5 linked regions of the Neurospora crassa OR74A genome follow. The main gene of each other region encodes a partner of the protein of the gene in region 4 in a complex. Links are inferred from orthologs where the notes say so. Each region holds a gene or a part of one and is shown on either strand. Other genes may lie near its edges.

Region 1 (5,777 bases), on a different chromosome or scaffold from region 4:
TCACCATCAATGCCCTCGGTGTAATACTCATCAAGATAACGACCGCCACTTTCAACAAACTTGCGATACACTTCTACAAACTGGCACCCATCACCTCCATGAAACACCCTCTGGCTGCTGTCCAGCCTTCCGATGGCTGCGGGTGTATTGTGCTTAGGCTTGAGTCGGTAGTCAATGAGCCAAATCGTTTTGATCTGCTCATGCTCGGAAAAGTTTGAAACGGCATTGAAGATAATGTCCATAATACCAACGGTACCGTTAGGCAACTTAAAGGACCCATCATTAAGCCACGTAGAGTCATTACGCCAAGTAGCGCCCTTTGTCAGCTCTTCGCCCCAGCTTGGATCGTACTCAATGGCAAATCCATTCCATCCGCAGAATCCAGGAAAGCCATATTTCTCCGCCCCAAATGGAAACCCGTGTTCAAACGCCTGCCAGTAACCCTCATGAATATGTGGGGTCCAGCTCGAGGGCCGAATGATGATGAGATCCTGCATTGGAAGCACAGTGACATAGCGTGGGGAGGCTGGAGCCTGGCCTGTGGAATGGTCCGCTTTGTCCAGCTCGTTAGAGGACGGCGGACAGGGCAATGAAGGTGATGACCAGAAAAATGCCGTTGCCGGTACCGGTCGATATGAGCGCTCTGCGCTGTAGGGGTCAACGGGCGTGGGGGGCCTCTCGCGAGGCGAACGTGGAGGTCGAGGTGGAGAAGGAGGCGAGTCGTCACTGCCAAGTGAACGAGGAGGGGGAGGAGGCATATCGAAGTCCATACGATCTAAGAGCGTATCTTTCCAAAGTTTCCAGTATGCTGGGTATGCCTTCCTTATCGGATCCCACTTCTGGTGGTTGAACGTATATTCCATCACTGCCCGTGACTCCTTCAGTATGCTGGGTATGCCTTCCTTATCGGATCCCACTTCTGGTGGTTGAACGTATATTCCATCACTGCCCGTGACTCCTTGCAGGCGGTCCAAAGTCCGCCATCGACCATATACGTTGAGGGATTACCGTCGGGTCCGGACGATAAGGTCTTTGCCGGGACTGAAATGTGAATGAATTTCTCGCCGATGTCCAAAGGCGGACACGGACGCTCATAATGTAAAGGCACTGAAAGAATACGAGGGCATTGAATGTCACATTCCTTTGCTGTAACATCTTCCGGCCCCCGCAGGTCCAAGCAAAAGATATGGGCTCCAGGGCGGTCAAGTGGGCGGATAGACTGCTTCCAGATCTCATTGCGTAATTCCCAGGGTAGCCTTGGAAACGGGTGGAAGGTAGCCAGAGGGGACATGGCCGGCTGAGAGGGATCTGACATATTAACCGACGGTGGCGTGAGTCGGCGTGACTTGAAAGTGAACGGCAGCTGGGCTTTCAAGCGCAGGCACGGACTGGAGGTATGCTGGAATAGTTGGCTTCTTTGAGTGAGCCTCCGAAACGCTGCAAGACGGGTGAATCGAAGGCGTGGATGGGGGAGAGAGGATGATGAGAAGGGCGAAGGGCTCAATATCAGAAGAGTAAAATTTTTCACCACTGGCTGTATCGTCATTTGGAAAATGGAAGGTGCGATACAATTGCATGATACTTCATGAAATGCAGTGACCATTGAGGTACTCACTTTGTTAGAGTGCCGTTCCTTCCTCAGGGTTGGGATCTCAAGGAAGGAATAGCCATGGCCCTTCTGCATCCAGTCAAGAGATATTCCCTTCCCTTGATAGTAACAGGAAAGAGGGTAACCGAGCCCTGAACCCACTGTCCTGACCGCCCTGGATATGCTCTCTTCCACTTTCCTTGCTGCCCATGGTCTGCTGAACAGGCGCGTTCGTTCTGATGTTGTCGTTTTCACTTTCTTGCCGCCCCTGACATTGCCTTTGAGAACTTTGCGTAGGTCTGCCTTCATGATCATGTTGGCAGAACATCGTGTTGGTGGCAAACCGGCTATCGAGGTATCATAAGTTGTTTCAAGACCAATGGTGATAATCGAGACCACTCTGAGCGTGCATTTGTCCAACCGTACATCCTAGGGTATCAAATCCGTTACATTGCTCTTCTCATTTCGACGCTCGTTCATGTGAAAACTCGTGAAAAGGACAAGCCTGAGATGCCTGTCTGCCATAGACCGACACTCTACTTCGACGCCTCCTTCACCTCTTGCCACCTCCCCTCAGCAACACCAATGAACCCCCTCATCAGCTCTCTTCCAATCACCGTACCGCCATGCTTCTCAATGCTCTTCACCTTCGTCTCTTCCCCACTGCAGTCCACCACCACGGTGACCGTCTCCTTGCACAAGCTCTCCTCCAACCTATCCGGATCCAGCAGGATCCAGTGCCTGCTTTTCCTCTCTGCCGAGGAGCCCGAGTCCTCTCCGTGCTCCTTCTCTAAGAACACCGTCGCAGTGCAGGCAACCGGCAGTCCACGCACATCCAGCGCCATCTTTGCCTCCTCGCTCCGCGAGCACACCACCGCCTCGCGATCCGGATCCCACCGCGCCTGCGGCAGCTTCGTGTCGCGCAGCGCCGCCATGACGGCTGTCCAGGCTGCGTCAAAGGGGTTTCCGTCGAAGGAGACGAACAGTAGGTCGATATAGAGGACCCAGTAAGCCTTGAGCTCCGGTTTCCTTTCCTCCTCCTCTTCTTCCTCTTCCTGTGCCTCATCCACCTCCATCGCGCCCTCCTCCCTGGTCTCCTTAGGCGGAGTGTACCACACCCTCAGGCCCTTGGGATCCACCACCTTGCAGCTGTGCAGAAGCGAGTAGATGCGCGTGCTGAGCGTCTGCGCCAGCGTCGTGGGTGGCACGCCGGGGAGGAACTGCGGCGCGCAGCCGGTGGCTAGCTCGATGTTGGGAACCAGGAGGTCGTAGTCCTTTAGCTCATCGACATCGGCGCTGTCGTCATTGTCTTCTTCGCCGTACGAGGGCTCCCGCGGCCGGTACTGGGGGATGTTGGTGACGGGAAGGATCTCGGCGCGCACGCCGCAGACGACCGTGGTGTCGCCGGTGCGGACAAGTGCGCTACCGTTGGCGTGGGCGAGCGAGGAGGTGTGGATGTGAACGGGGCGAGCCTCGTGTGGGGCGCGGCCGTTGGTACGGCAGGGGTTTTCGGGGTCGGTGAGGTTCGTGAGAAGGTACGGGTGAGGCGAGAGCTTGGCGAAGGTTGGTCGCGAGAAGCTCAGCGAGGGAGCTGGAACTGTAGCGGCCATTGTGACGGCTTGGTTTCTGATGTTTGGTGACTTGTGGTTGTTATGGTGCCTGATGTGATTCAGATTTGTTATATGTCAGATTCGACCGTTGTCGAGTTGCAAACTGGCTGTACAAAGCTTGAAGTGGCGTTGTTTGGTGAGGGCTGCGATTTGTTTTGGAGGAGGTTGTTTGGGAAATTTCCTCCAACCTGAAAGGCTATCAGCCTTGGTGGGGTTTGTGGTTGCACGGCAGCGAGGATCGACCAATACACCCCCCTGTACCAGGCTGCTTTGGGCAGCTGGATCCATGCAAAGCAAGTGCGCGCTGAGAAACCGCCTGACAGCCGCTGAATTAGCAACCTAGCGTGGTCTTTCAGGGCACTTCTACTTCCTGCAGGTGTAACCCGCGGACATGAATCCAACAATCAGTAAGTCCCCTTGGTCGTTTCACTGCATCAGCTCGAACCACTTCTGTTTTTACTCGCACAATGAAACACGACAATTTATAATTCTTAAAATCTTCAGTCACATCCAGAAACTCATATATCCTACGTATCATATCATCATATACAATGGTTGTTCCCTTGCGACCAAGTTATCTAATTCCGTGACCAAAAACCTGCCGCCAAGCCCGCCACCTCTTTTCCCTTCGTCATAACGATTTCATGACCACCATCCATTACAACAGCCTTGAATCCATCTTCTCCCAACACTGACGTGGCGTCGTGTATCAGTTCCTCCTTGACAATGACCGGATCCGTTGAGCCAAGAATCAGCAAGAGTTTTCCACCCAAAAGTCCCGGCAACGGTTCTGCCCCGGCTCCCTCATCGGCACCAGGAGAAGAAGTCTTTCGCCTGGCAGCCAAAAGCTGACCGAGCTTTAGCCAATCCTTCCGCTGTTCGTAAATGGGCGCATGCCGAATGCTGCTCATAAAAGCCGTGAGGAATCCCTGCTGGTGCTGGACCTGCCAGGCCATCACCGAGGAAACTGTGCTATTGGGCCTGTGCGGCAAGAGAACCGCGTTGTCGAATGAGTCCCCGCCGCTGGCGTCGCTGTTTTTGTGATGCTTCTTGGTGGACTGTTCACTGTTGCTGGTGGCGGTCACGACCTCGCTAGCCATTTTGGCTTCGGATGTCGTTGTCGCTGACTGGGGAGTGATCCGTCGGCGTATGAGCCACCGGAGCAGCCTCTCGGGAAGCAGGCCTTCGGAGTAAAGGATCCTGCTCCTTCGGCTCACGTGTTCTGACCGGATCAGTCCTGCGCTTGCCACGAGTACCAAGGACCGGATCATGTGCGAGTAGTATCTGGCGAACGAGACGGCGATGCCTCCGCCTAGGGAATAACCAATCATGTGGAATCCGTTGTCGCCGGTCCATGGTAGTTTTGAAGATGCCAAAGCCAGGAGGATCTGAGTCGAGTAAAGCCGGATGTCAAAGGGGATGTCTGTTGGAGTATCGGAATACCCGCGCCCGAAAAAGTCAAACAGCATGACTCTATAACCTTTTTCCACGAGCGCCTCTCCAAGGATTCCCAAGCTTAAACATGGTGTGCTGATGCCGTGTAATAGAAGAACCTTCTCGCCGTCTTCAGGCCCCCATTCGAATACCTTGATGATTCCATATGGGGTCTCAACGTCCCTTGCACCTGGCAGAGCATCTGGGGGGTATGGAAGTAAGGAGGTTTCGTCTTTGGACAACTGTGGAAGGTGGGTGACTCTTGGCGATGGGATTATCATTGGCTTCTTGCTCGAGTTTTGGCTCATCAGTATGCGGACACTCAACCCCAAGGATACACCCACTGCCCCGAGAACGAGACAAGATGTAGTGACCTGAGGGCGGAGGTTAGACGCCCAGGCCGTCATCATGGGGCTGCAAGAGTGTGGTTTTGAGATCCGACTCCGCTGAAAGTTGACCCGGAAGGGCTCGTCGTTTGCCTCGGAATTAGAAGCTCTCAAAGGATGAGAAAGGGTCGTGAATGTGTGGCCTTCAGAGAGCGTCCTCAGGATAGGATAGGATATTAAACCGTAAAGTCTACTTTTCGCGTTGAAGGAAGTGTTCTGTGGAAGTTTCGGAAGTCGATTTGTCCATCCGCTGAGGTTTAGTTCGATTAGTCATGGCACAAAAAGACTTCCATGAACCGATAACCGATGAGAGTTGTGATCGTAGGAATGGTAGTGGCTGCCAAGGAAAAGCGGGTCGGTGTCGGTGTCGGCGGAGCGGGTCTTCAAGCAAAATGCGCCTACTGTAACTCTCCTCCCCAGAGACGGAAATCCTCCGAACAACCAACCACAAGTTTGAAGTTGTCGTGATCCGTTTTCCCTGGCGCCAACATCATGACTTTAAAATGAAACTCGCAAGTCAGCAGCAAGCTGAGGGAGATCAGCGGTCCTCCTCAGGGTTCTGACTTCTCTCGTCGGTAGAAGCTCCTCAGTCTGATAAGCTGTCGTCGTAGGACACCCTTTTTCTTCTCCCCGTCACTATCCGAAAGCTCCACGGAGAATGACGGCCGGCCGGAGCCGTTGGGGTCTTTGACCAGCTTCCGAGGAGGTGGACGCTCGCCAGTCGAAGAGGAGCGTCTTTCGGCGGCACTCAACCACGTC
Region 2 (5,930 bases), on a different chromosome or scaffold from region 4:
GGTTAAAAGAAACGAACGACAGAGCGACAGGAGCTGCCCCTGGTCCACGTTTGTGGTCCCACGGCGCCTGCAGGGGCACGCACACGCATGCGTTCAGGGACCGGCATGCCTTCCACACAGCGCAGTGCGACGTTGCCCGGGGCAGCGAAATGAGGGCCTGGCAGAAATGATCCCTGGCACCTGGAAGATTGGTCTGGACAGGTGAGCCGAGTGGGTCTTGCAGTCCCTGCCACTCGTCAGGGCGGTGATCGTCCCATCTCTCGTCCCTGAGTGGCCAGCAGCGACCCGCCGTCCACGACATCTGCTCAGGTACTTGATGCTTGTGATTGGCTGGCCCCTTTGCTATCCCCCGCCTACATAATTCGCCGGCAGTTCGGTGGAACAATGGAACCCTTCGACGACGCACAAAGGCGTAACGCTGACTTCCAGGTTTGTATTATGCAGCACCTTTGACCCACTGCAAGAATAGGTAGGTCACGTCCAGCTTGCCAAAGTCAAAGAAGCCATTGTTGTTTCGCTGACAATAGACTCGTCATCGTGACCCCATTCGTTGAGTTCCTTTCTCTTCGTTTTCACTCAAAGGGGCCCAAGACAGGACGCACGTGCATTGACTGGTGTTCTGGAGATTAGGTGAGCATGGGGGCGGGAAGGTTCCGTTGCTCTGGCGTCAAGGATAGCAGCGCTAGCCCTGTTTCTCGAAGCCTGGTCGCGGTCGGGTGGTCTGAAACGAGATGAACGGAAACGGGGGCAATGCCAACCAAAGAGCTTTGATCCCTAACACATGTCCGGATTAAGTGCCGCGAAATGTGTTAGCGAGCCCCCTTGGCTAATTCATGGTTCGTTCATCCACAGTTTGATTAAAAGTGTAATGCGAATTGGCGTTGGCGGGTCGTTCCTTGGTAGACTGGGCAACACAGCACTTCCCCATTGCCCCGTTTCTCCGTTCCATTGGACCCCGTGGGCTGGTCGGGCCACCAGCGCAGTAATTCTTCAATGAGTAAGCGCGCACCTCGAGGTTTTCACAGTGAAACGAGAAACAAACCGCGCCTGATGAAACTGTTTAGTTGACAAAGACATTGTGGTCACTGGATGACGACTTGCTCATGGTGGATCTCTGTTCAGTCATATCGATAGACTAGGCCAATTCGTGCTAGCCTGGGCCGGCTGTCTAGGGCTGCATCATGCGCCGACCGACGGCGCCTCCTAGTGTAGAGACTTGATGTTGAACAAGTCTCCCCAAAAACACCAAACGGAATCCTCTTGAACCTTGATCGATTCGCACCCCAGATAGGGAGCTCCAGGAGCATTGGCGAGCGTTCCAGACTTCTAGAACCGGATCACTCTTGGGTCCGAGATGATAGAAGATGACGACGCGCTCAACCGAGGCTTCCAAGAATACAAACCAATTGACATTTCGAACACCCAGCGCATCGCGGTACCCATGAGATGATCTTGGTGGCCGTTGTCCCGTATTCACTTAGCGAAGGGGGGAATGGAGGAATGCCGGTTTCCTCCTTGCTGTTGACAAGGGGTCACTGCCACTGCCACAGTGTGCCCCTGAGTAGAGGTAGCCTACCTACCTCTAGGTAGGCTACCTAGTAGTGATCACTCCTGAGTCCAGACTTCAGGCCCTCTCCTGCTCACAATGCACGATCAAGATCCCATCAACATTGCGCATTCGATTGATATCTTGCCATCAACTCACTGTACCGCTATGAGCTGGAGAGGTCAAATGGGGGCTGTCAAGATCACGTGGAGAGTAGATGGACGGGAACCTTCAATTCCATGTTCCGGGGCCATCACGTCCCGTCCTCTGTCTGCAGCTGCAAACAACTTGCCTACAAGTAGTGTAGAGGTATGCACAGACCACTTGCATGCATTTTCAGCTCCTGATGGAAGCGAAGCAGAACTTAAGCAGAAGCCCTGCGGATGGAACTCCCGTCCTGCCGAGTGAGGTGAGCGGTGGAGCCCGGCACGGCGACCCCGCGAACGTGAGACGCAGCGGATCTTGCCCCGCCCCGCCCAGCTAAACTTTTCCTGTCTTGCCATTGGAAACTTTCGGCCTGGCCCAACCACGTCCGTTTATTCCTAGCAAAAGGCGATTTCAAAGTCAACAACCGTCCACCAGAACCTGCTGTCGATTATTCAGACTGGTCGACCGGAAGCTCCGAATTCCCACTTTGCGCGATAACTTAGTCACTGAAACTGGGGCCCCGACACTTCCGCATTACGCAAGCCTTTCTCTCCTCCGACTCAACGTACCGAGAGCTTGCGCGTCGCTCGCGGCACGATATCGCATCGAATAATCTGTCCCATCGAGCCGAAACTGTACGCACTAACCACGATCTCCCAGATCGAGCTTGGCCGACCCGACTCGAAGAACGACTAGGGTACAACTACAAGCACAACCTGAGCTTGGTGGACACTAAGCAGGGGAAGCAAGAGCAAAAAATCTCGACTCAGGTCCGGCTCCCCAGACAGGCCCTCAGGGCGTTTGTTGTTGTTGATCCTTACTGGATACCGTACCCCAATCTCGACCTTTGGTGTACTCGCTACCTGCCCGGTAGAGAGATTAGCCCGAACCACGATACCCAGAGGAGTAGAGTGAAACGCTAGAACAACAGAACATAGAAAGAAACACCTGTCCACCCAGCTACACCGCTATGCCTCTCGATACTTCAGCATATAGCCTCGCGCTGTTGCGCGTCGACGGCCGCAGGTGGAACGAGCTGCGTCGCATCCATGCCCAGATCCGCACCCAGGCCGCCGCCGATGGCTCCAGTTACCTCGAGATGGGCCACACCAAGGTCATGTGTGTCGTTAACGGACCCAGCGAGCCCGGTCCTCGGAGGGGAGCCACGTCGGGCGGTGGTGGTGGCGGTGGTCAGTCCAAGAACGCCGAGGTTGCTGTAAACATTGTCATTGCCGGGTTTAGCTCGGTTGACCGTAAGCGAAGGGGGAGAGGTGATAAGTAAGTCAAAACACCCAGGGGTTGTTTCCCCCCCAGTGTCAACTACGGCTATTCGTCTGTCACTGTTCGCATAACTAACCCGTCATCCTTCCTTCTTCCATCATCACAGGCACATCCTCGAACTCCAATCGACGATATCTCAAGCCCTCGCTGCCAGCTTACACACCCACCTCTTCCCGCACTCCACCATCAACATCTCCCTGCACGTGCTCTCGCAAGACGGCTCTTTGCTGGCCGCCCTCATCAATGCCGCCACGCTCGCCTGCGTCGACGCCGGCATTCCCATGACAGACTACGTCGCGGCCTGCACGGCCGGCTCGACGTCTACATACGCGGCTAACGACGAGGGCGCCGACCCGCTGCTGGACATGAACCACCAGGAGGAGCAGGAGCTGCCCGGCCTGACGGTGGCCACATTGGGCGACAGCGACCGCGTGGCGGTGCTGGTCTGCGAGAGCAGAGTGCAGGTGAGTCGCCTGGAGGGCATGTTGGCCGTGGGCGTGGACGGGTGTAAGCAGGTGAGGGAGATCTTGGACAGGGTAGTGAGAGAGAAGGGGATAAAGATGATACAGGAGGGCACGGTCGAGAGAGGGGTTGGGTTGAATGACATGGAACTGGATTGAATGGACACTACTGAATCAATGGTTGGGCTCCGGGTCACAGAATCGGATATGGTACGGTAGGTAGCATTACAAAGGCTTGGAGCAAAAAAGAATAGGCAACATGACGAATTTGACGAATTTCACGACTATCAATGTAATCAAAAGTACAGCTCTTGGTCAGGTGAGCAACATGTCGTTTCTGTTAAACGTGCGCCAACTTTTGAAAGCGTTCTCCGAAACTGAAAGGTACCAAAAAACCTTCAACTTTTGACCAGCCATTCACTGACACAAGTCACAGCAAACTACGCTTTCACCAATCTCTCACAGCTCATCGTGACCACTGGCCGTCTTCGACTGGGCCTCAGGCGTCTCCCCCTCCTTTGAAGCAGCCTTCTCAGCCTTACCAGACTCTTTCTTTTCCTTCTTCTTCTCCTCCTCCTCCGTCGAAGAAGCCTCAACAACAATACCCTCCGGCAGCTTTTTCTTGGTGCCCTCGCTCAACCTAATCGCATCAATCCACGCCTCCACCTTGTCATGATCCGAGAAATCATCTCCCTCACCAACAGCGTCGTAGCGTCTCCACCATCCGCGACGGGCGTTGATGACGATGAGTTCAATGTCAGCATCCTCCTTGAGGCCAAGGGATTTGAGAAGGGACGCGCCGGCGGGGTTGGTGTCGAGGGGCACCTCGTAAAAGGGGAAGAGCTTGTGTTGGCCGAGGGCATATTTGAATTTTATTTCGGCGAGGTGGGTGAGGGCCTTTTGGGCTTTTTCGTTGGAAGAGGATACCAGCGCGAGAAGGCAGGTGCTGGATTTGGACGTGAGGCATTCCTTGACGAGCTTTTCGGGGGTGTTGAGGGAGGGGATGGGGAGGGCGGTGTGGATTATTACGGGAATCTCTTGGGTTGGGGCAGGGGTTTCGGAGGACGTTTCAGAGGAGGTTTCGGAGGAGGCGACCTTCTTGGAGTCTTGCTTTCCGTTTTTTTCACCACCGTTGGCCTTGCCGTTGGCCTTACCATTAGCCTTGCCATTAGCCTTGCCATTAGTCTTGCCATTAGTCTTGCCATTAGTCTTGCCGTTGGCCGGTGCTGGGTCCGGATTAGGCTGGGCCGCCTGGGAAAGGAACTCCACCATGGCGGCCTTGTTGATCTCGCCGTCGTACACAATACCAGGGGCATCACCGCCAGGCAACAAGATCAGAGTAGGGAGTTTGTCGACACCGAATGTGGATACCGCCTTGGACTGAGTGTTTCGCACCTGACCGACGGGCATGACACCGAGGAATTCAATGGCGACGCTCTTCAGCAAGGGGGAGGTGGTACCCTTGTCGGTGAAGAGGAGCGCTTTGGCTGTCTCGTTCTTGTCACTCAGGAACTTGTCGAGGTTCTTGTCCTCGACTTTCACGACGTGATTGTTGATGCGCGAGACCACAGCATCGACAATTGCGCTGGCGGTGCGCTGGCCTTGGTAGTCCTCCACTATGGGCTTGCCGTTCTTAGAAGGACGGATGATCTTCAAGGTCGGGAAGCCCTGCACGCCCATGCTGCCGCAAAAGGGCTTGTTGGCGTCCTCATCGCAGTTGACGGCGGCGACCTTGGCCAGGCCTTCGAGGTTCTTGGCAGCCTTTTCGTAGGCGGGCTTGAGGTTTTGGCAGTGGCCGCACCAGGGGGCGTAGAACTCAAGAATCTGCAAGGGAGAGAGGTCAGACACATACATGCATTATTACGATGGCTGATCTAAGATATAGTCGGTCTGGTACTTACAGACGTCTGGTTGCTCTTGGCAATCAATCTATCGTAATCCTTTCCGTCAACCTGCAAAACTGGGGACTTTTTGGTATAAAGGCCCGCCTGGGCTCCGGGGAGCGCAGACAGGATACCAACTGCCAGAGCACAGAGGGTGGAATGATGCATGGTACAGTCAGGAAGGCGACGCTTTTGTTTACTGGGTGACGGTGGTATGTATGTATGGGGGGATGATGATAGATGAGGTTTGTGGGGTTGGAGCTATAATGTCATGAATGTACAATAGCCGATACCAATACAAAGTGTAAGTGAGAACAAAGGAAGCTCTTCCGTATGGGCGTCCTAGGGATTCAGTCCCGTGTGAAAGATGGTGTCGTGTATTTGAAACCCAAGGAAGCAACAAACAGACACACCGATTGAGATGAAAGGAAAAGCTGTCATCTTCCCAGGTTCGGCAAAAGAACACATTTCAACTCAGAAGCTGTGAAAGCTGGCGCCACATACAAATGAAGTCAGAAGCGTCCAGAATCACCAGGGGAGGAGCTGCGGTCCGGGAGCGCTTTCAGTGCTTTGAAACGCGCTATGACTGGAATGTGGCCCAAGCTCCAAGGC
Region 3 (5,534 bases), on a different chromosome or scaffold from region 4:
GCATACCTTCCTTCAGGAGAAGAAGAGATCACAGTGGGCAACATGCCAGACTCTAAAGGCGTTGTCCATGGAAAACGTAACCCTCAGTGCTTGTATGCTTTCCCCAAAAGAAAAGTTGATGAAATTGGAATAAATCGAATCGTCATTTGTTCGTAAAACCATTCATCTTCGTCCAGCTTGTCGTTTCGCCGTCCCGTCTCGCGGCGCAGTGGCGTGGTGATGGACTGGCTACTTTGGCCGAAGTAAAATGAGGATAACAGTAAACCGAGGTATAGCCAGCTGTCATCGTAGGAAGGGGGGAATAGACTACTTGGTGGCATGAAGTCTAGAGCAGGAGATAGGCGTGCTGAGAAATGCCGAGGGAGTGTACACATGGATGTTAGGAATCGTGATGTTTGCGCGACGGCGGTTCAGGGGTTACCTAGTGATGTATAGATATGTAGAAAACATGGGCACGGACATGAGCACTTTGCCGAAGAGAGAAGTGAAGAGAGGAGTGAAGAGAGGAGTGAAGAGAGAAGTGAAGAGAGAAGTGAAGAGAAGAGAAGACAAAGCACCAATACAGAAGTCTGTCTGGAAGCGAGCGGGTCAGCTGTACTAAACCAGAACACAGGTATAATAAAGCCAACCCGTGCATTCTCTACGAAGGTTTGTGACAACTACCTCAGGGCAAGGACTCACCAGCGAATGTGCAAACAGAGGCGACGAACATTTCCAAAAGAGAGTATCTTTGTAGTAATGTTTTGACTACGTTACCGTAGATTGTGAATATAGGTATGGATATATCTTGATCTAACCCAAACTCCGGTCTAGCGTAGACGCCGCTTGTGCCGAGAAGCCTTATCTCTACTCTATATTCTATCCCATGGTTTCCAAAACCTTCGTAAGCAAAACACCCTTCGCGAAGGGGACAGTTCGTAAAGCACAATGCTTAGAACTTGCCCTTGAGCAAGTTGCTAATCATCTCGCGGCCGGTGATGACGGAGGTGCGCCAGAGGGTAGGGAAATCGAGCGTGCTGCTGAGGGTATCGGCATAACCGAAGAACAGCATGGGAGGGATCCAGCCGCGCGCATACTCGAGCGCGAAGCAGCTCTCGGGCATCCTGTACTGCTTGACGGTACCGCGGACGAGGTGGTGAACGGAACCGGGAGGGTAGACCTCAGGCTCGTACTCGCCGGGGACGTAGGCAGTCTGAGTGCCGGTGAGGATGTGGAAGTAGTCGTCGGCGGTGTGGCGGCCGGTGTGACCCTCAGTACCGATGGCAGTGCCTGTTGTGTGGAGTGTGCTGTTAGTGATGGGTCTGAAGAAGCGGGAAGCACAAGCTTGCGAAACGCGTGCTGGAGGATGGGGCTTACCAAAGATAATCAGGTACTCGGTGATGGAGGCGTGGATGATGTACATAGCACCCATGGCACCACCAGCGTTGTTGAACACCCACTCCTCATCGTTGTTGACGTAGGGCGCAACGCCGTTGCGGTCGTTCAGCTCGTCGACAATGTACTTGACAATAGCCTTGGTGTCGTTGCCGTGGGCGCTGATGGCGCGCTTGGACAGATCGTGAAGGTGCTCAGTATCGAAGACGTAGAAGGACTCGAGACGCTGCTCCAGGACGTAGGCGATAGGCGCAACTAGGGCGAACAAGATGGCGAAGAACTTGAGCCAGCCACCGATACTGCAGCGGCAGCGGCAGCTGCAGCGGCAAGACGAACCGGAGGAAGAGCGGCCGGAGCTAGAGCCAGAGCCGGACGGCTTGTTGCCGCCGGAGGAGGACTGCTTCTTGGGAGGCATTGTGACGGTTTGTGATTGACGAGACGGCACAATGTCGAGGAGGAGAAACAGGGGAGAGAGAAGACGGGAATCTTGAATTATAAAGAAGCAAAACAATGGCCACAGAGATTCCACCACCGACAGGGGGGTCCGTCAGCCCAACCTCAACAAACCTACCCACGGCAACCCCTGATTTCCTTGTGGAGGACCCTTGTGGTTGCAACATGCCCGCCCAGGCGGGTGTTGCGACTTCCGACACGTTCGATTTTGAGAGCTTTGACCAATAAGGACGCTCAATTGCGCGGATAGCGTTAAACCGATTTCTTGAAGGAGCCACCGCTACGACCAATTGGAGGCAGACACACCGGCAGGCTGGAGTGCATCCAGAAGCTCCGTAAAGCTCCCCTCGCCGGCAGGGCAGCTCAAGTTGCCCGGCAGCACTGTCGGTGCAAAGCACTCAGCGCGGCACTAACAGCGCTCTTGGCACTGACAGGGGTTTCTATTTTTTCGGTGCCCCTCCGTCATTGAGTCCCGTCCGCGGGCCCGGTCAATCACATTTCAATATTCCATCGAATGGACATTTACCTCCACGTACCAGAAGCTCCAATCTCAGTTGTTATCGCCGCGGGGTCCGTTTTGTCGCATCGTTATCTTTTTTTTGTTTAGTTTCCCTCTGCGCGTCGCACCGCGTCTCATACTATACCACTTTTACCCATTCGCAAACTTTTGTCATCGATAGCTCCATCAACCTAGAACGACCGACACAATGGCGAGCACATCCTCTTCCCCTTCGATGGCCATCCCCGGCCAATTCCTAGGCCCTGTCTCCAAGTTCCAACCCGGTCCTGGAACCCATATCCACGAGTCGAACCTCTACTCTTCGCTGCTCGGCGTCGTCAACATCACACAGCCCGCCAAGGCGCCTGGCCCTGCTAAGCGCTTGAACAAGATCATCAACACCCAGACCACGCCCGCCGAGCTACCGACCATCTCGGTATTGCGTTCAGCGGGTTCGTCAGACAAGCGCGAGGTGCTTCCTGAAGTGGGCAACATCGTGCTATGCCGGGTGATTCGCATCATGCCGCGCCAAGCCGTTGTGGCCATTCTAATTTGCGGCGATACTGTTTTGGAGGCCGAGTGGCAGGGCCTGATCAGAGTGCAGGACGTGAGAGCAACAGAGAAGGACAGGGTAAAGATCTACGACAGCTTCAGGCCTGGAGATATTGTCAGGGCCGAGGTGGTGAGTGCTCTTCTCCTCTCCCTTTCTGCCAGACATGGACTGAACACTTCCGCTAACGTGCTGCCACCCACTAGATTTCTCTTGGTGACCAAGCCAGCTACTACCTGTCGACAGCGCGTAACGAGCTCGGTGTCATCATGGCGACAAGCGAGGCCGGTAACACCATGTACCCCGTCAACTGGAAGGAATACAAGGACCCTGAGACGGGGCTAAGCGAACCCAGAAAGGTTGCGAAGCCCTACTGAAGTCGGCGGATGGAGTTTCGAAATGAGACATGAAAAAGATGCTTGAAAAGCAATGCATAGCGGAGTTACTAGCTTGAGGTACAGCGTGTTATCAAGGCGATACGGGCGTTAATCTGCTCGGAGAGCTCGCCGAGTAGTGAAAGCAGGTGCTCAATCAGTACCCGGTTGGGGACTTGCAAATGCGGCGGCACGTCGAATGTCGAGCTCTCACGGTCCGCCGGTCCATCATCGACACGGTCGGCCACTCGCATCACAAGCAAGCATCCCAGCGACAAATCCAAGCCCAGAGATGTCCTGGCCCCAGAGTTTCCGGCGGATACTCCAGGTACGCCAAGTTAGACCGCGCAGAACATGGTCTTGGGTGATAGGGCTCGCACTCAGAGAAGTATGGAGATGGGTACATGTCACGATTCACTCTTGACACAGCGGAACAACACAGTCATGATACAGCGCCTGTTTCAGGGATAACGAAGACGATGGCGAGTTAGTATGATCTTGTCACGTCGAGGAAAGATATAGTGACGCCAGACACGGCTACGCCTGTCATTGCATCAAGAAACTGGATACCCGTTTAAAATCTGCATAGAAGATACCAATAGCCTTCTTCATACGTACCTTACTATTCCCTTGCATACCTAGGTACATACCTCATCTGTTGTCTGTGCCGTCATCCGCCGCCTGGGCCAAACGTTAACGAGTGCTGTTTCTTTAAGGCGGCTCAAGGGCGGCTTGGCGTCTCGTATACCCCCCACATGGGCCTTGCATCGTGCATGCGGTACCTACATACCGCTGAAGATCATCGGAACGGCGGGGGGGCGTAGAACGGGGGAGGGCGGTAGATTCCCGTACGTCACCGAAACCCTGCGTGCCTAGAGGTACCTAGACACATTCATTCCACCCATTTCTTGTCCTCCCTTTTACAGCTTTGTCATTCTTCAAAAAAGGAGGAGGCAGAGTGGGAGCTCTGGCGGCGTGTTGGTTAGCGATCTCACTCAGCGCCCCCCAGATACACAAAACAAAGTCTAAGACGAAAACAACAAGCTCCCTGCCCCTGTTTCAACGGGAACCAGTCCATCCCCACCGCAACGGCGTCTCCATCTAGTTTTCTTGTTCCTGGCAGGAGTCCACTTCGTTCCCGAGAAGAAAATATCGAGATCAGACGAACCGCTTCAATCCATCATCTTTGATTTTCGTCCAATCCGACAAGACGCGCGAACTCTCCTTGTCGATATCATCTGTCCTAACGGGGCCCTGGTGAGCCATGTCAACCACCGCCACCATGACGATGACCGCCGCCCCCGTCATCGTCGAACCGGTCACCCAAACGTTATCTACCGCTCCTTGCTGCCCACAATGCGGTATCGATCTCGAGGGGACCCAACCCTTCTTGGAGATGCAGGCGGCCGTTCTCGATGCCCACAACAAGATCCAAGAACTTCAAAGCCAAGTGCGCCTGCTCAACGAAAAGGCTTCATCCGCCGTCGATCGTTGGGCCGACTACGAAGACGAGATAGCCCAACTACGAGGGCAACTCAAACAGCAGCAGCAACAACAACAACAACAACAACAACAACAACAACAACAACAACAACAACAACAACAACAACAACAACAACAACAATCCCAGTCCTCCCCAGTTGCGTCCCAAATATCATCACCGCAACAACAGCAACAACACGCCGATGCAGCCCTCGCCACCCCTCCCCAATCCGCAACCCCCTCCACCACTGCAACAGCCAACGCCTCCCCCGCCGCCCCTCGCAGCGTCAGCTCCGTCTCCTCCTTCCTGCCCACCGGCGCCGCCTCCCGTCTCTCCGCCTTCTTGACCTCGCGCAAATCAACGCCCAACCTCAAATCCGCCCAATCTTCTACCGGCCCTGTTCCTCATATGCCAACGCACCAATCCACCCTCTCGCAATCGTTCACTCTAAGCAGCCCCCTTCAACAACCGTTCCAGTCCACCTCCCCGTCCCTTCAGCACCAAAAAGAGATCTCCGACCTCCAGGCAGCCCTATCCCAAGAGAAATCCCTCCACACGGAAACCCGCGCCAAGCTAGCCAAAGCCGAAGCGAAACTAACCGCCACGTCGCGTGAGATTGAGGAGTTATCGGTGACCCTGTTCTCGGAAGCCAACGAGATGGTCGCGTCGGAAAGGAGGGCGAGAGCGAAGCTGGAGGAGCGGGTAAAGACGCTGGAGAAGAGAGACGAGCAGAAGAAGGAGAGGCTGGAAATGCTGGAGGGGGCGGTGAGGAGGATGGAGAGGGTTAGGGACGTTTTGAAG
Region 4 (5,439 bases):
GGCGCGGTGAACAAGGTGACGGATTCAGGGGCGACGGCCTCCTTTCAACCCGCCTTTGGGTCATTATCACCCGGCACAGAGCCATCAATAACAACAACTTCAGAGGCGGCCATGATCGAGCAGGGTCTTCAAAAACCATCCATGTACTTCCTCCCCTCTGACTCCGAAGAAAGCTGGACAGCCGCCATCAACCAAGTCATCGGCTCAAATGCCACCGGCCAACAGTGGTCCCCAACTGACCTCATTGTCTACGGCCGCAAGGTACACATCCCGCGCTACCACAACGATGTCACCTACTGGGATTTTTCCGAGCTGGTCTCTTCCCACGGCCCAGCCGACTACCTCACCATGGCGTCGACTTTCCACACCTTCATCATCGACAAGATCCCCGTGCTCTCTCTGGCCATGAAGAACGAAGCCCGCCGTTTCATCACCCTCCTCGACGCCTTGTACGAATCCAAGTGCAAGCTCCTCATCCGCGCCGAGGTCGGGCCTGATGATCTCTTCTTTCCCGAGATGCGTCCAGTCAAACCAGTCACCACATCATCAACAACAACACAAAGCACGGGCAATGGAACCGAGCAGGTAGCAGCAGCAGTAGTAGAAGGCGACGCAACCTACTCCGAAACCATTGCTGAAGTGTTCCAAGACTCCATCGCCCCTTTTCGTCCAAACATTTCCGAGTATGACCCGGACCAGGATTCGGATTTCGGTAAGGAGCAGCAAGTGTCGCTGACGCGCAAGGTGGACTTCAACCAGACCGTCTCGGCGTTCACGGGCCAGGACGAGCGGTTTGCGTACAAAAGAGCGACGAGCCGGTTGTGGGAGCTGTGCAGCAGGCAGTGGCATGCTAGGACCGATGAGGGTTGGTGGCAGCCGCTGCCCAAGGAGGCGAGGCATTGGGAGGGCAAGGAGGTTAGCAAGCCGTTGGAATCACCGTTGGTGAGGTTGAATGCGGGGCCGAAGGAGAAAACGGAGATTGTGATGGGGGAGTCGACGGTACTGGAGGAACCGGTGGGGTTGGAGAGGTTTAGGGTTAGGGAGATGAAGGAGGGGAAGAGGTGATGGGGGTGACGGTTGGATGTTGGTTTTCATGTAGATGCTCTGAAGATGATTACATGTACTCTTACGAGTGGTCTATGCAGACTTGTAAGCTATTATGTGATATACTTCCCCGGATACCGCCATATTTTGTGATCAAAGTGGCTTTGAGGCTTCACAAGCCACCACCAGCGTCGTGTTTTGCATAAATGGAAGCTCTTCAACGGCTCAAAGCTGATTGGCGACCCCATCAAATAGGGAAGCATTTTGTTTCTTCTTGGGTTCCCGAATGCATTACTACACGAGCCCCTAGACCCAGCTAGAACTAGACCTAGACAGCCGTCAAAGCAGCAGCAAGCTGCTCTCCTCTCTCACCACCCAAATACACATCCTCGGGCCCATCCGCGCTCACCAACGCCAGCTCCACGGCCTCATTATACCCCTTTGTAACCATATCCTCATCCACCCGCAATCCATTCTCCACCAGCGCCGTTACCACGCCCCTAATCCTCGCAATTTCCCTCATTGTCTCGGGCTCGATCCTGTCATTCTGGCTCGAATACATGGTAGCACTAACCACCTCTTCGAGGTTCGTAATGCCCGTCTGGCCCTTCGCCTCCTCGGGAACCACAGGCTCCACATGCTTTGAGATCCAGACATAGCCATTGACGCCCAAAATCACATCAATCGGACCGCCATTATTCGCACTCTCCAGCGTCCACACCTGTCTGCGCGATCTGACCACGCCTCCACCGCCGCCCGTGCCAGAAACAGCCATGAACACCCCGTTCCTCAGCTTGCCGTACTTGAGCGAGCGCGTGTGCAGCACCGCACCACCATCTTGGAAGAGCTGCTGCACCTCGGCCACCACCAGATCCCCCTCGGCAAAGAAAGTGCGGATCTGCAACTCGTCCGTCTCCGTTCTTTTGCGGAGAATGCCACCAGGAAGGTTGATGGCGGAAAGAGGCAAAGCAGCGAGCTGCGTGGACCCGACGTCGACCCGCCACCGTTTTGCCTGAACTTCGACGATGCGGCCGACTACCAAGTCGCCGACCTCGGGCGTGTAGCGGGCGCGCAGAGGGCGGACGGAAAGAAGCTTGTTGGTGCGCGTCACGATGCCGGCCAGCGAGGAGGTGATGGCTTGTTCACCCAAAGAGGCCGAGGAGAGGTAGGTGCCGTGGCCGCGCATCCATTGGGGGTCCGTGGTGATGCGCTCGCCGGGGGTGACGATGGCGGAGCGCGGGATGGAGTTGATGGCAGCGTTGGTCTTGGGGCGCTTGGTGAAGGTAGAGGAGGCGGCTGCGCCGGCGCCGGAGCGATGACGCTTACGAGGGTGGATGGTCGCGCCGCCGTCGAGAGAGACGCCGCCCGGTTGGGAGTCGGAGTCTTCAGAGTCGGAGGTGGCGTCGGACATTACGTCGTCGGAGTCATGGTTGAGGCTGTGGCGGGGTGGTTGGTCCCGGAAGGCTTTAGGTGGGAGGATTGTGATGGGCATGTTGTGTGGTTGTGGATGGTGTGAAATGGCGATCTCAACGTTGAGTGTTTGTTGGTGTGATGAAGGTCCGAATGAATCCTTCCTTCCTGGTTCCGTTGTCGACCTTCTCGAATCTCAAGTTCTACTATGTGACTATCCTGACCTGCAGAAGTTTGTTGTTTGTGTCGATTCGTCTTGTGGCCTCAAAGGATGTTGTATGGGCCTTCCAGTTGCTTAGTTCCCTTTGGAGTTGATGAGTTGACGTTCAAATGTTTGCGTATTGGAAATTCTGATATTGAAATCGATACGGTATTGACGATTGAACTTTACACGGTTGGTGGGGCCTTTGTTGTGCCTGTCGTCGTGCACGGGCACAAAATAGAGGCACATGCAGTGCAGGTACACCACGCAAAGTACGTAGGTACTCAGGTACTGTGTAGGTGCTGGGCAGGTACTTACCTCCTCCCGTCCGCGTCCTTGAGGTTTTTATCTAGCAACTACACTACCTTATGTAACTACAATGAGTGGATCTGGGACCTTTTCCTCCTCAAACCTACTTCTACTGCAAATTGAAAGCCAACAGTATTGTAGCCGCACCAGTGGCAGCCCAGGCGACGTCGCACGTCAGGTCCTTCGGTAGGTAGGTACACTACTGCTGCAGCAATGACGGGTGTCATCGTTGAATAGGTGTGAAGTGCCTGCCCCAGTGACAACGATTGGAGGTGCCATGGATCCAGATTGCGACGTTCGGAACTACCCCACCCACCTTCTCCACAAAGCCGAGACCCCGGGACAACGGGCCACCCGGGCGCTGGCTGGCGTGATCCACTCCCGGCCGCGGTTGTCGATTTCCAGGGCGGTTTGTTGAGTGAGAGCGAGATTTCCATTGATGACCGACTCGACCGCCCTCGTAAGCCCCTACCTACCGCGATTCAGTGTCCGTACCTGCTTACACAGCACTCTCGAGCTTCCACTTCTTGCAGGATACACCCGTCCCTACTTGCCCGGGAGGCCCTTACTGTTGCTACCGTTGAAAGCCGATCATCCCGTGTTCTTCCACCAGTTGCTGGCATCCCTTTGAACGGCCATTAGTAGTCCCGTCCGTCCTGCTCTTTGATTTGCTCCCATTGTTTACTTGCTGCGGGTTCACGCCGTCAAACATACCTGACTTGTTTGAATTCGAGATTCACGTCATCTACCACGACGTCGGATTCCACCAGACTACGACATAACCGTGTGCTACTCGGATTGGCGCCGATCGGATATCGACTACATATCGGGAACCATAGCGGTGGATCATCCCAAGACTGTCAGTGAAACCAGACCAAGATTCCGAAACCGATTCACTACACTACGCGGTAGATCGGACGGACCGAACGGACGGACGGCCTGGGACGGGCACCAATCGAGGTTTCCAGGTCCATATACACCGATATGCCTTTGCGAGGGCCCCTTCGTCGGCCTGCGCTTGCGCTTCCTCCTTTCACATGCAACAATGTCACCACAAAAATACCCCTCAGGATATCACCATTACCGCGCTCGGTAGCGGTACGGCAGCGTAGAGGACATGCGACACATCTCCCGGTACCAGACACGCGGCCAAAGACGGCCATCTTCTTTCCAGGTTCGTAGTAGTAGTAGTGCGCTGTCCTGCTTTGAACAGAGAACGATGCTGACAGCCATGAGATATACAGGCCAAGGCGTCCAAAGAGTCGGCATGCTCACGCCCTGGCTAGAAGCCTTTCCCTCGACAACTTCCGAAATCATCGACGAAATTGACTCGATAGTGGGCCACAAGCTCTCGGACGTGATACAAAATGGGCCCGGCAAGGACCTCAACCTGTCGCCCAACGCACAACCAGCCATCATGGCTACCTCGATATTGATCATCCGCATTCTCGAAAAGCATTTCAACTTTAGAGTCCAAGACAATGCCCACTTTACTCTCGGTCACTCTCTTGGCGAATTCGCTGCGCTTGTCGCAGGCGGCTATATCCATTTTGAAGATAGTTTGCGAATGGTGCAAAAGCGAGCGGAAGCCATGTCCAATGCCACGCGGCAGGCCGAGGAGATGTATGGCGGAGAGTACGGCATGGTGGCACTCGTCAGTAGCAAGGCCGAGCACCTGCCACCCTTGATTGCCGCAATCCACGAGTTCGTCGGCTACGACAGCGCCGGCTCGAAAGTGGAGAGCGCCGACGAATGGTGCCCAATCGACCAAGTGCTCATTGCGAACGTCAACAGCAAGACGCAAATCGTGCTCAGCGGAAGCATTGAGCGCATCAAGACACTGGTGGAACACGTGCGGCAGTTCCTGGGACACGACCCACGCGCGGTCAGGCTCAAGAGCGACAGTCCGTTTCACAGTCCCATCATGAAGCCGGCCGTCGGGGTGCTGCAGCAGATGATGGCGGGAAACAGCATGGTCAAGGGGAGGGAAAAGGAGGACATTATCACGTTTCCCGGCAAGGTTACGTGCATTAGCAACGTGACGGCCAGGCCGTTTGAAAGTAGGGAGCAGCTCAAGGACCTTTTGGCTCGGCAGGCGGTCGAGACGGTACAGTGGTGGGACAGCATCAAGTATCTGGATCAGTCCATGAAGGTCAGGAGATGGGTCGGTATCGGGCCGGGGTACGTGGGCCGGAACCTGGTGGGCAAGGAGGTGGGCATGCGCGGGAAGGACGTCATCAAGGGCGCCGGTGTCTGGGCAATCACGGATCCGAAGGAGATTGAGGAGGTGCTCAGAGGGTTGGAGGAGACAGACTTTTATGAGGACGACGAGTGGCAGGATGCATGGGATAGGTGGGACTGAGAAGGTAATCAGTGTTGGGTATCTACGGAAAAAGGGCTGTTATTTTGGAAGGAATCTGGGAAATTCATCGTCACCCTTTATCAACAAGCATCGGCGTAGCGTCGGATTGGAT
Region 5 (5,602 bases), on a different chromosome or scaffold from region 4:
TGGATGATCAAAACCCCCAAGAAGATAGTTAGACGCAATCCACCCATACAATCCCTCCGTTTCGCCTGGAATGACCTGAATATGTAGGTCGCAATCCGGAAGTGAGAAGTTCGTATTCTTGCGCAGGTATGTGCAGACAGCGCCGGTTATAGCATTTTGTTGGACCTGGGGAAGAAGTCGCATGCCAGCCGTGGCCATTAAGAAAATAGGGGTGTCGTGGATCTTGTCCGCGGGTATGATGTCGAGCGCATGGTCGATGAGTTCCTTCAGATAATCTTGGCCGACTACCCCAGCCTTCTCCCCAAATGTCGATATTCCAGGTCTAATCTTCTTTGTCCACTTCTTTTTCGTCGTGATCTTGGGCAGACTGCGCAACTCCTCGGGCGTCGCATCTACAAGCGCCTTCTCGGGATCCTTCCAACGATATATGTGTAGCCGTGTCCCCGAGGACCCGGCGTCCAAGATAACACCCCATCGCCCTGTCATTGCTTCAGTGTCGCGATCTTGGAAGACCTGAGGGGGTTGCGGGTGGACGTACAGTTCTTGTCTTTCCCCATCGAGAAGAGATTAGAAGTAGTCGATAAAGCGGATAATGACTAATGCGAAATCAAGTCGGACAAGGCACAGCTGTCTCGGTTCGGCGAGGATTGCTCAAGTTGTCGTCGGTAATGGCGTAATAGGGGAATTAATGTTGTATGGACGACCGCATCGGAATTATGGCATCAACAACCTGGAACTGTTGCGGAATCGCAGTGGAGACGGAACGAATTGATCGACGGTACAAGCAAGGCTGGAAGGAGGAATTACCGGCCGCAAAACGAATGGACAAAACACTATGGAATAATTAAAAGTGTACAGTGTGGTAGGTAGGTAGGTAGGTAGGTAGGTAGGCAGCCGGGACCGTCGGAAGAAACGAGAGTAGGGGTGGTTTTGGGAAAAGTGAAATGACCAGGTGCGAAGCGAGAGAAAACTCGCCCGAAAGCTGGGTGAGGTGAGATTTTGGAGGATGACGGGAAAGATTGGATTGTCAGGTCGTTTTACAATTCCCGCCTGAGTGGACAATGTGGGCCGAACTGGGAAATGTCTGTAGTTTTTTGGAGGGACCGTGGGGGGGCAGATAAGGAGAAGTTCAGGGGAAAGAGGGGCCCGGGACCACGCCACGCCGGGGGGCGCCCCGTCGCTGAACGCGGCCGGCACTGTGCCAATATGTGAGTGGTGGTACCACGTCCGCCTTCGGATGCAGTGACTTCAGTTCCATTGGGTTTCCTTGGTGGCGTTCGTAATGCTGAAAGTTACGGACCAGAACGCCGGTAATAACGCAACGTTACTCGATCTTTGTGCAGATTATGTAGTTGATCATGTTATGTTACCTCCACCTCGAAATGTTGATAAAGATACGAGCTATTCACCACAGTCCCCTTCAGATAAAGTGATTAGATCGTGCCGGACACGAAAAGAAAGTAGTTCAGGTGTAGTGTATGTATGCCCTACGCAGTAATAGTGAAACCTCGGTTCATGATCAGCCACCACCTTTGGCCATGTCTGCCCTGCTTCGAACATGCCGTGCTGCTATGAACGAAACGATACGCGTAATCTCCCCACATCATGTTTCCAATTTCAGAAACAGACGATCATTGAGGCGAAGAACGTGGAAGCTTCTCATACCCCGCGGTTCATAATGTTTCGGCAGTCAACCTCAGAGGGTAGCTCTGCATACCAGCCACAACGCTTCTTGGACGTCATTCGTCCATCACACTGCGATCTTCCAGCTGAGTTTCAGCAAAAGAGCGCTCGCTCAACCTGTCAGACCTTGACAGGCATCTCGAAACTATTCCCGCCGGAAGTTGACCATTCCATTCTTGCAGTCAGCCGCCGAACCTCGGAACGCAGTTCTGTTGTCGCTGCTATCGATTGGCATCTTCCGTTACTTCTGCCCTACATATGGGCTATTGCGAAAGACCAAGTGGCTGGTAGCTCGACCTATTGCATCAGAAGCTGGTCTTCGGGTCGATAAATCGACCAAAATCGTAGAGGTACTCAAAGACCATGAACCGTCAGACCATAGAATTCCATGCGTTTTTCCCGTTGATGGACTTACAGGTTTCAATACGAGTATTTCCCATTCGCGCATAGCTAAAACAAATAATACATTGCCGCGCCGACCTCATGATCACCCAACGGTCTCGTTCAGGCAGTCCACGAGCACGCGGTTGGCGCTCTTGGAAGCCTGAATGCCCTTTTCAATCAGCTGCGTATAAACGTCCATATCGGACGCAGGTAGGTCACCCTTGAACCAGAGGTTGGTGACCTCTTGTCGTGTGGGAAGATATGCGATGCAGCACGCTGCAAGAACCTTCTCATGCTCAGAAGGAATCGGGTCGACAACTATGCTGGGAGCAGCGTCATTACCTGCGTCCTGTACCAACGCAGCAACACCTCCGGCCACAGTGTCGACGCAGTCAATGCCAGCGTCAGCAAGTGCAGCCGAGGCAACGGTGATGCAGCCACTCAAGGCATTCATGGTGTCCCAGGCCTCAATACCCTGGGCCTTGGAGGTCTCCCGATCTTGCTCTCCTTCAACAATGGAGATGATGATATCCACTCCACTCTTTGGCCAACGGTCAGCAATGATAGATCCCCGAAGAGCCGTCTCAAGGTGAGTGCCGAGATCTCTCTCGATCGGGTCACGAATGTAACCACGCCTTTGCTTGGTCGCAAAGGGTGCAAACTTGACATGGGTGGACAAGATGATGTGAGGAGAAAAAGGTGTTGACCTGGGCAAAGCTCTAGGTCCATGAACGCTGCAACTGAGCTTCAAGCCAGAGCCGCCGTTTCCAGACGACTCGATCTCTAGGTAAGCAGAGCCAGAGGCCGACGGTGTCACTCCCGTCTTGAGATCTAAACGTGAGGTTAGTCTGTGTCTGCGAAACAGGAGGGTTTGTCCTCGACGTGCTTACACATTTTGCGAATTACGTTCGCCGGGCGTGACCTTGTGACCTTGAAACCTTCGGATTGCTTCTCGGGTGCATCGTCATAGATGGGAGGGTTGGTAGTCCCAACCGGTCCGTTAATACGTCTTCTGTCGGCCATTTTGAAGCCAAGATACGAGGGCCGGAGATATGGTGGGCTTGGTGATTGCTGTGTTGTTTCCGATGCCCTTCTCTGGTCGAAGAATCCTGAGATAGGTGAAGAGGAAGAGACCTCGTCTGTGTATGGCTTTCCTTGTTTCACGGTTGGTAACTTCTGTTGGTACCTCTGTTGACTGTTGAAAACAAGACGTGAGAGTCGCCGTCTACACTGCAGTGGGTCCACTCTCAAATTCAAGTAGTTGTGGCGCAACCTCACATTCACTGTCGATTTTGATCAGTCAGCCACATGCCCCACCCAGAATTCCATGTCAAAGCCACCGATGGAGGAATTTTTTGCGCAGCTACAAAACTCTGCCGCCTTCAGTTCCAACCTCATCTTGAACTCTTCCACCAACCCACACCGTTCGCAACGGCAGGAACGGCTTGCGATTGTCGGCATTGGATCAATGCCTTCATTTGATATGGCCACTGTCTTTGGGGAGCAGCCATGATACCATGGTCTTACCGTGCTCATGGTCGCTTTGGTTGGGCAGCCTTCTGCGCTGGCGCAGCAATGGCATGGTCATGTCAACTGTCCAGGCATGCTCTTGGTTATTCTGCGATGGCGAACCCCATTGCTAGAGAGCATGTCCTGGCTGTCTGACATGGCCGACGTTGGTTCGCACGGATAGAGTAAGTTTATTTCCCCTTGCCTTTCACATCTCATGATGATCCCATAACCACAGTTCTCGCGATAATCTCTGAGCGATCGAACAAACATGCACTACCATCTGACTACTCCTTCAACACATCCTTCACTTGCAACTCATTTGGAGGAACCGTTGACTGACAATCAATAGTACAGACAAAGTTGTTATTGTCACCGTTGCTGTTCCACTCCGTTTTCTCAGTCTCTACCCACTAGGTAAGCATCACATTGTTTTCCTTTCTGTTTTCTTTCCCCCACCTGACATCATCACCCACCCGATTGTCCATGATGAAACAAAATATTTTCAGTTCTGCTTCTGAATAATAATGAGCGATAACCAATTATACCAAAACCTTCTGATATGGCAATCACCCCAACTCTTTCTTGCAACGACAGCCCTCACCACACATGCTGCGAGCAAGTTGGCTAACAAACTTCAAGTTATATAGGATCTGAAAACGATCTTGCGTCTAGTGGGAGAGTCGACATGCCCATCTGGTAGGTACTTTGCCTTTTTTTTTTTTCCTTTGTCCCATGCACAATGATGACAACAGTCTATCCATTCAACGATATGTACGGGCCGAGCCATCCATCCGCACTGGAGCGTCTTTCGGGGCGTGAGGACTAGTTGTGGTGTCTCCCTTCGGGGTGTCATTTGGCTTCCGTTGTCCGAGTCTCCTGCGCACCGTTTTGGGGCGTGGGAGGCTTGGGCCGGCTTTGTAGGGCTGAGTTAAAACGGCTTGTCTGATCTGTGTCGTCTTCGCCTTCTGCTCGATGCCGATTCGCGTATGACCTTGAACTGACCGGTCAGTAGTTGATGGCGTGAACGTTTCATACGTTTTGTTGCAACGCATCTTTGACGAGGTAAGGTTTGTGTTCATGACTCGACAACTCAATGACCCCAGTAAAATTGGATGTAGTTGAGGATCGACGGTGTGCCTGTCCTTGACATTTACATAGGGCTTCAAGATATCAGCAAGGATAGAACAATGAAAACAAGAGTTGCAAAATAGTTGATTATCTCCAATCAGACCCAAGATATTGCCCTTGATGATGTGCAGGAGAAGTCCAAACCCAGTAGAACGAATGACCGGACACTTGCCGCGACGTAAGCCCGGTTTCCCTTCAAATCATCTGTGTCTCGAGGTTGAACATCAAATAAATTGAAGACACACCCTGATGTACCCATCTGTATTGCACACAGATGATAACTACGGCACAGACTCGACGGTACTTGCATTGCCACTGTTTCAGGTCGACTTTGCCGTCAATTCTGGAGCCTTGTCCTTGGCGACTTTAAATCCTGTACACTGCACTAGAACCCCTGAAACCAAGGCGTCAAGTCTGGGGTCATTTGTGGGTGGGTGCAAAATGCGCTACAATTGGCAGGACCCCGTCGAACGGCCGGGCCACTTTGCGACGCCATTGGTAAAGAAATCCATCCCAACCCGCCAATCTTATCTGGACTGGTACTTAGTACGTGTATCGATCCGTCAAGCTGCCCACAGCCCGGTGCGAACACCTCAGCTTTTTATCAAACGACTCGGTGCTACAGGAACGCGATCGTCTTGATCTTCCGCCCAAACTTCTCTCTGACCGCGATGCATTGATCCTGAACCGGCCTGGTCCCTTCTCTATCATTTCGACACAGTTTCGGCAGCGCGTGCGTCGAGAACATCCAGCGAGAGACCGCCCAGTCTGCAGCATCTGTTAGCATTTCCGGTTCGCAGGACTCAGGTACCCTGCGTGTGCGCAAAGGGGGGTTGAGGTGCTCGATAATATTGGCCGCCCCTGCAGCGACCATCTATCACCAAACAGCCCAATG

What was found.
Region 1: NCU04009 (region 4) and NCU03159 share a complex: the UniProt entries of both Schizosaccharomyces pombe proteins name them as parts of the RNA exosome complex. The link is inferred for Neurospora crassa OR74A from reciprocal best matches to the Schizosaccharomyces pombe genes rrp4 and rrp43.
Region 2: NCU04009 (region 4) and NCU00812 share a complex: the UniProt entries of both Schizosaccharomyces pombe proteins name them as parts of the RNA exosome complex. The link is inferred for Neurospora crassa OR74A from reciprocal best matches to the Schizosaccharomyces pombe genes rrp4 and rrp41.
Region 3: NCU04009 (region 4) and NCU04155 share a complex: the UniProt entries of both Schizosaccharomyces pombe proteins name them as parts of the RNA exosome complex. The link is inferred for Neurospora crassa OR74A from reciprocal best matches to the Schizosaccharomyces pombe genes rrp4 and csl4.
Region 5: NCU04009 (region 4) and NCU08026 share a complex: the UniProt entries of both Schizosaccharomyces pombe proteins name them as parts of the RNA exosome complex. The link is inferred for Neurospora crassa OR74A from reciprocal best matches to the Schizosaccharomyces pombe genes rrp4 and mtr3.

Annotation. Positions count from the first base shown.
Region 1 is NC_026501.1:4,750,949-4,756,725, reverse strand, and holds NCU03159 (3' exoribonuclease), read right to left. Parts: upstream 3,396-5,777; 5' UTR 3,199-3,395; coding exon 2,125-3,198; 3' UTR 1,555-2,124; downstream 1-1,554. Other genes in the region: NCU03160 (hypothetical protein), read right to left, coding at 1-818, 899-1,315; NCU03158 (alpha/beta hydrolase), read right to left, coding at 3,777-5,042; NCU03157 (hypothetical protein), read right to left, coding at 5,570-5,777. UniProt on the Schizosaccharomyces pombe protein: Non-catalytic component of the RNA exosome complex which has 3'->5' exoribonuclease activity and participates in a multitude of cellular RNA processing and degradation events.
Region 2 is NC_026501.1:7,076,050-7,081,979, reverse strand, and holds NCU00812 (exosome complex exonuclease RRP41), read left to right. Parts: upstream 1-2,056; 5' UTR 2,057-2,663; coding exon 2,664-2,971; intron 2,972-3,080; coding exon 3,081-3,594; 3' UTR 3,595-3,894; downstream 3,895-5,930. Other genes in the region: NCU00813 (disulfide isomerase), read right to left, coding at 3,895-5,259, 5,337-5,486. UniProt on the Schizosaccharomyces pombe protein: Non-catalytic component of the RNA exosome complex which has 3'->5' exoribonuclease activity and participates in a multitude of cellular RNA processing and degradation events.
Region 3 is NC_026505.1:5,017,456-5,022,989, reverse strand, and holds NCU04155 (exosome component 1), read left to right. Parts: upstream 1-2,229; 5' UTR 2,230-2,534; coding exon 2,535-3,008; intron 3,009-3,082; coding exon 3,083-3,253; 3' UTR 3,254-3,884; downstream 3,885-5,534. Other genes in the region: C-8 sterol isomerase erg-1, read right to left, coding at 932-1,269, 1,357-1,789; NCU04154 (hypothetical protein), read left to right, coding at 4,515-5,534. UniProt on the Schizosaccharomyces pombe protein: Non-catalytic component of the RNA exosome complex which has 3'->5' exoribonuclease activity and participates in a multitude of cellular RNA processing and degradation events.
Region 4 is NC_026506.1:2,431,843-2,437,281, forward strand, and holds NCU04009 (exosome complex exonuclease Rrp4), read right to left. Parts: upstream 2,820-5,439; 5' UTR 2,537-2,819; coding exon 1,373-2,536; 3' UTR 1,071-1,372; downstream 1-1,070. Other genes in the region: NCU04008 (mitochondrial ATPase), read left to right, coding at 1-1,065; NCU04010 (malonyl CoA-acyl carrier protein transacylase), read left to right, coding at 3,950-4,139, 4,210-5,327. UniProt on the Schizosaccharomyces pombe protein: Non-catalytic component of the RNA exosome complex which has 3'->5' exoribonuclease activity and participates in a multitude of cellular RNA processing and degradation events.
Region 5 is NC_026504.1:3,955,829-3,961,430, reverse strand, and holds NCU08026 (3' exoribonuclease), read right to left. Parts: upstream 3,284-5,602; 5' UTR 3,091-3,283; coding exon 2,958-3,090; intron 2,899-2,957; coding exon 2,171-2,898; 3' UTR 2,099-2,170; intron 2,037-2,098; 3' UTR 1,339-2,036; downstream 1-1,338. Other genes in the region: NCU08027 (nucleoside diphosphatase), read right to left, coding at 1-479, 539-557; NCU08024 (mannan polymerase II complex ANP1 subunit), read left to right, coding at 5,600-5,602. UniProt on the Schizosaccharomyces pombe protein: Non-catalytic component of the RNA exosome complex which has 3'->5' exoribonuclease activity and participates in a multitude of cellular RNA processing and degradation events.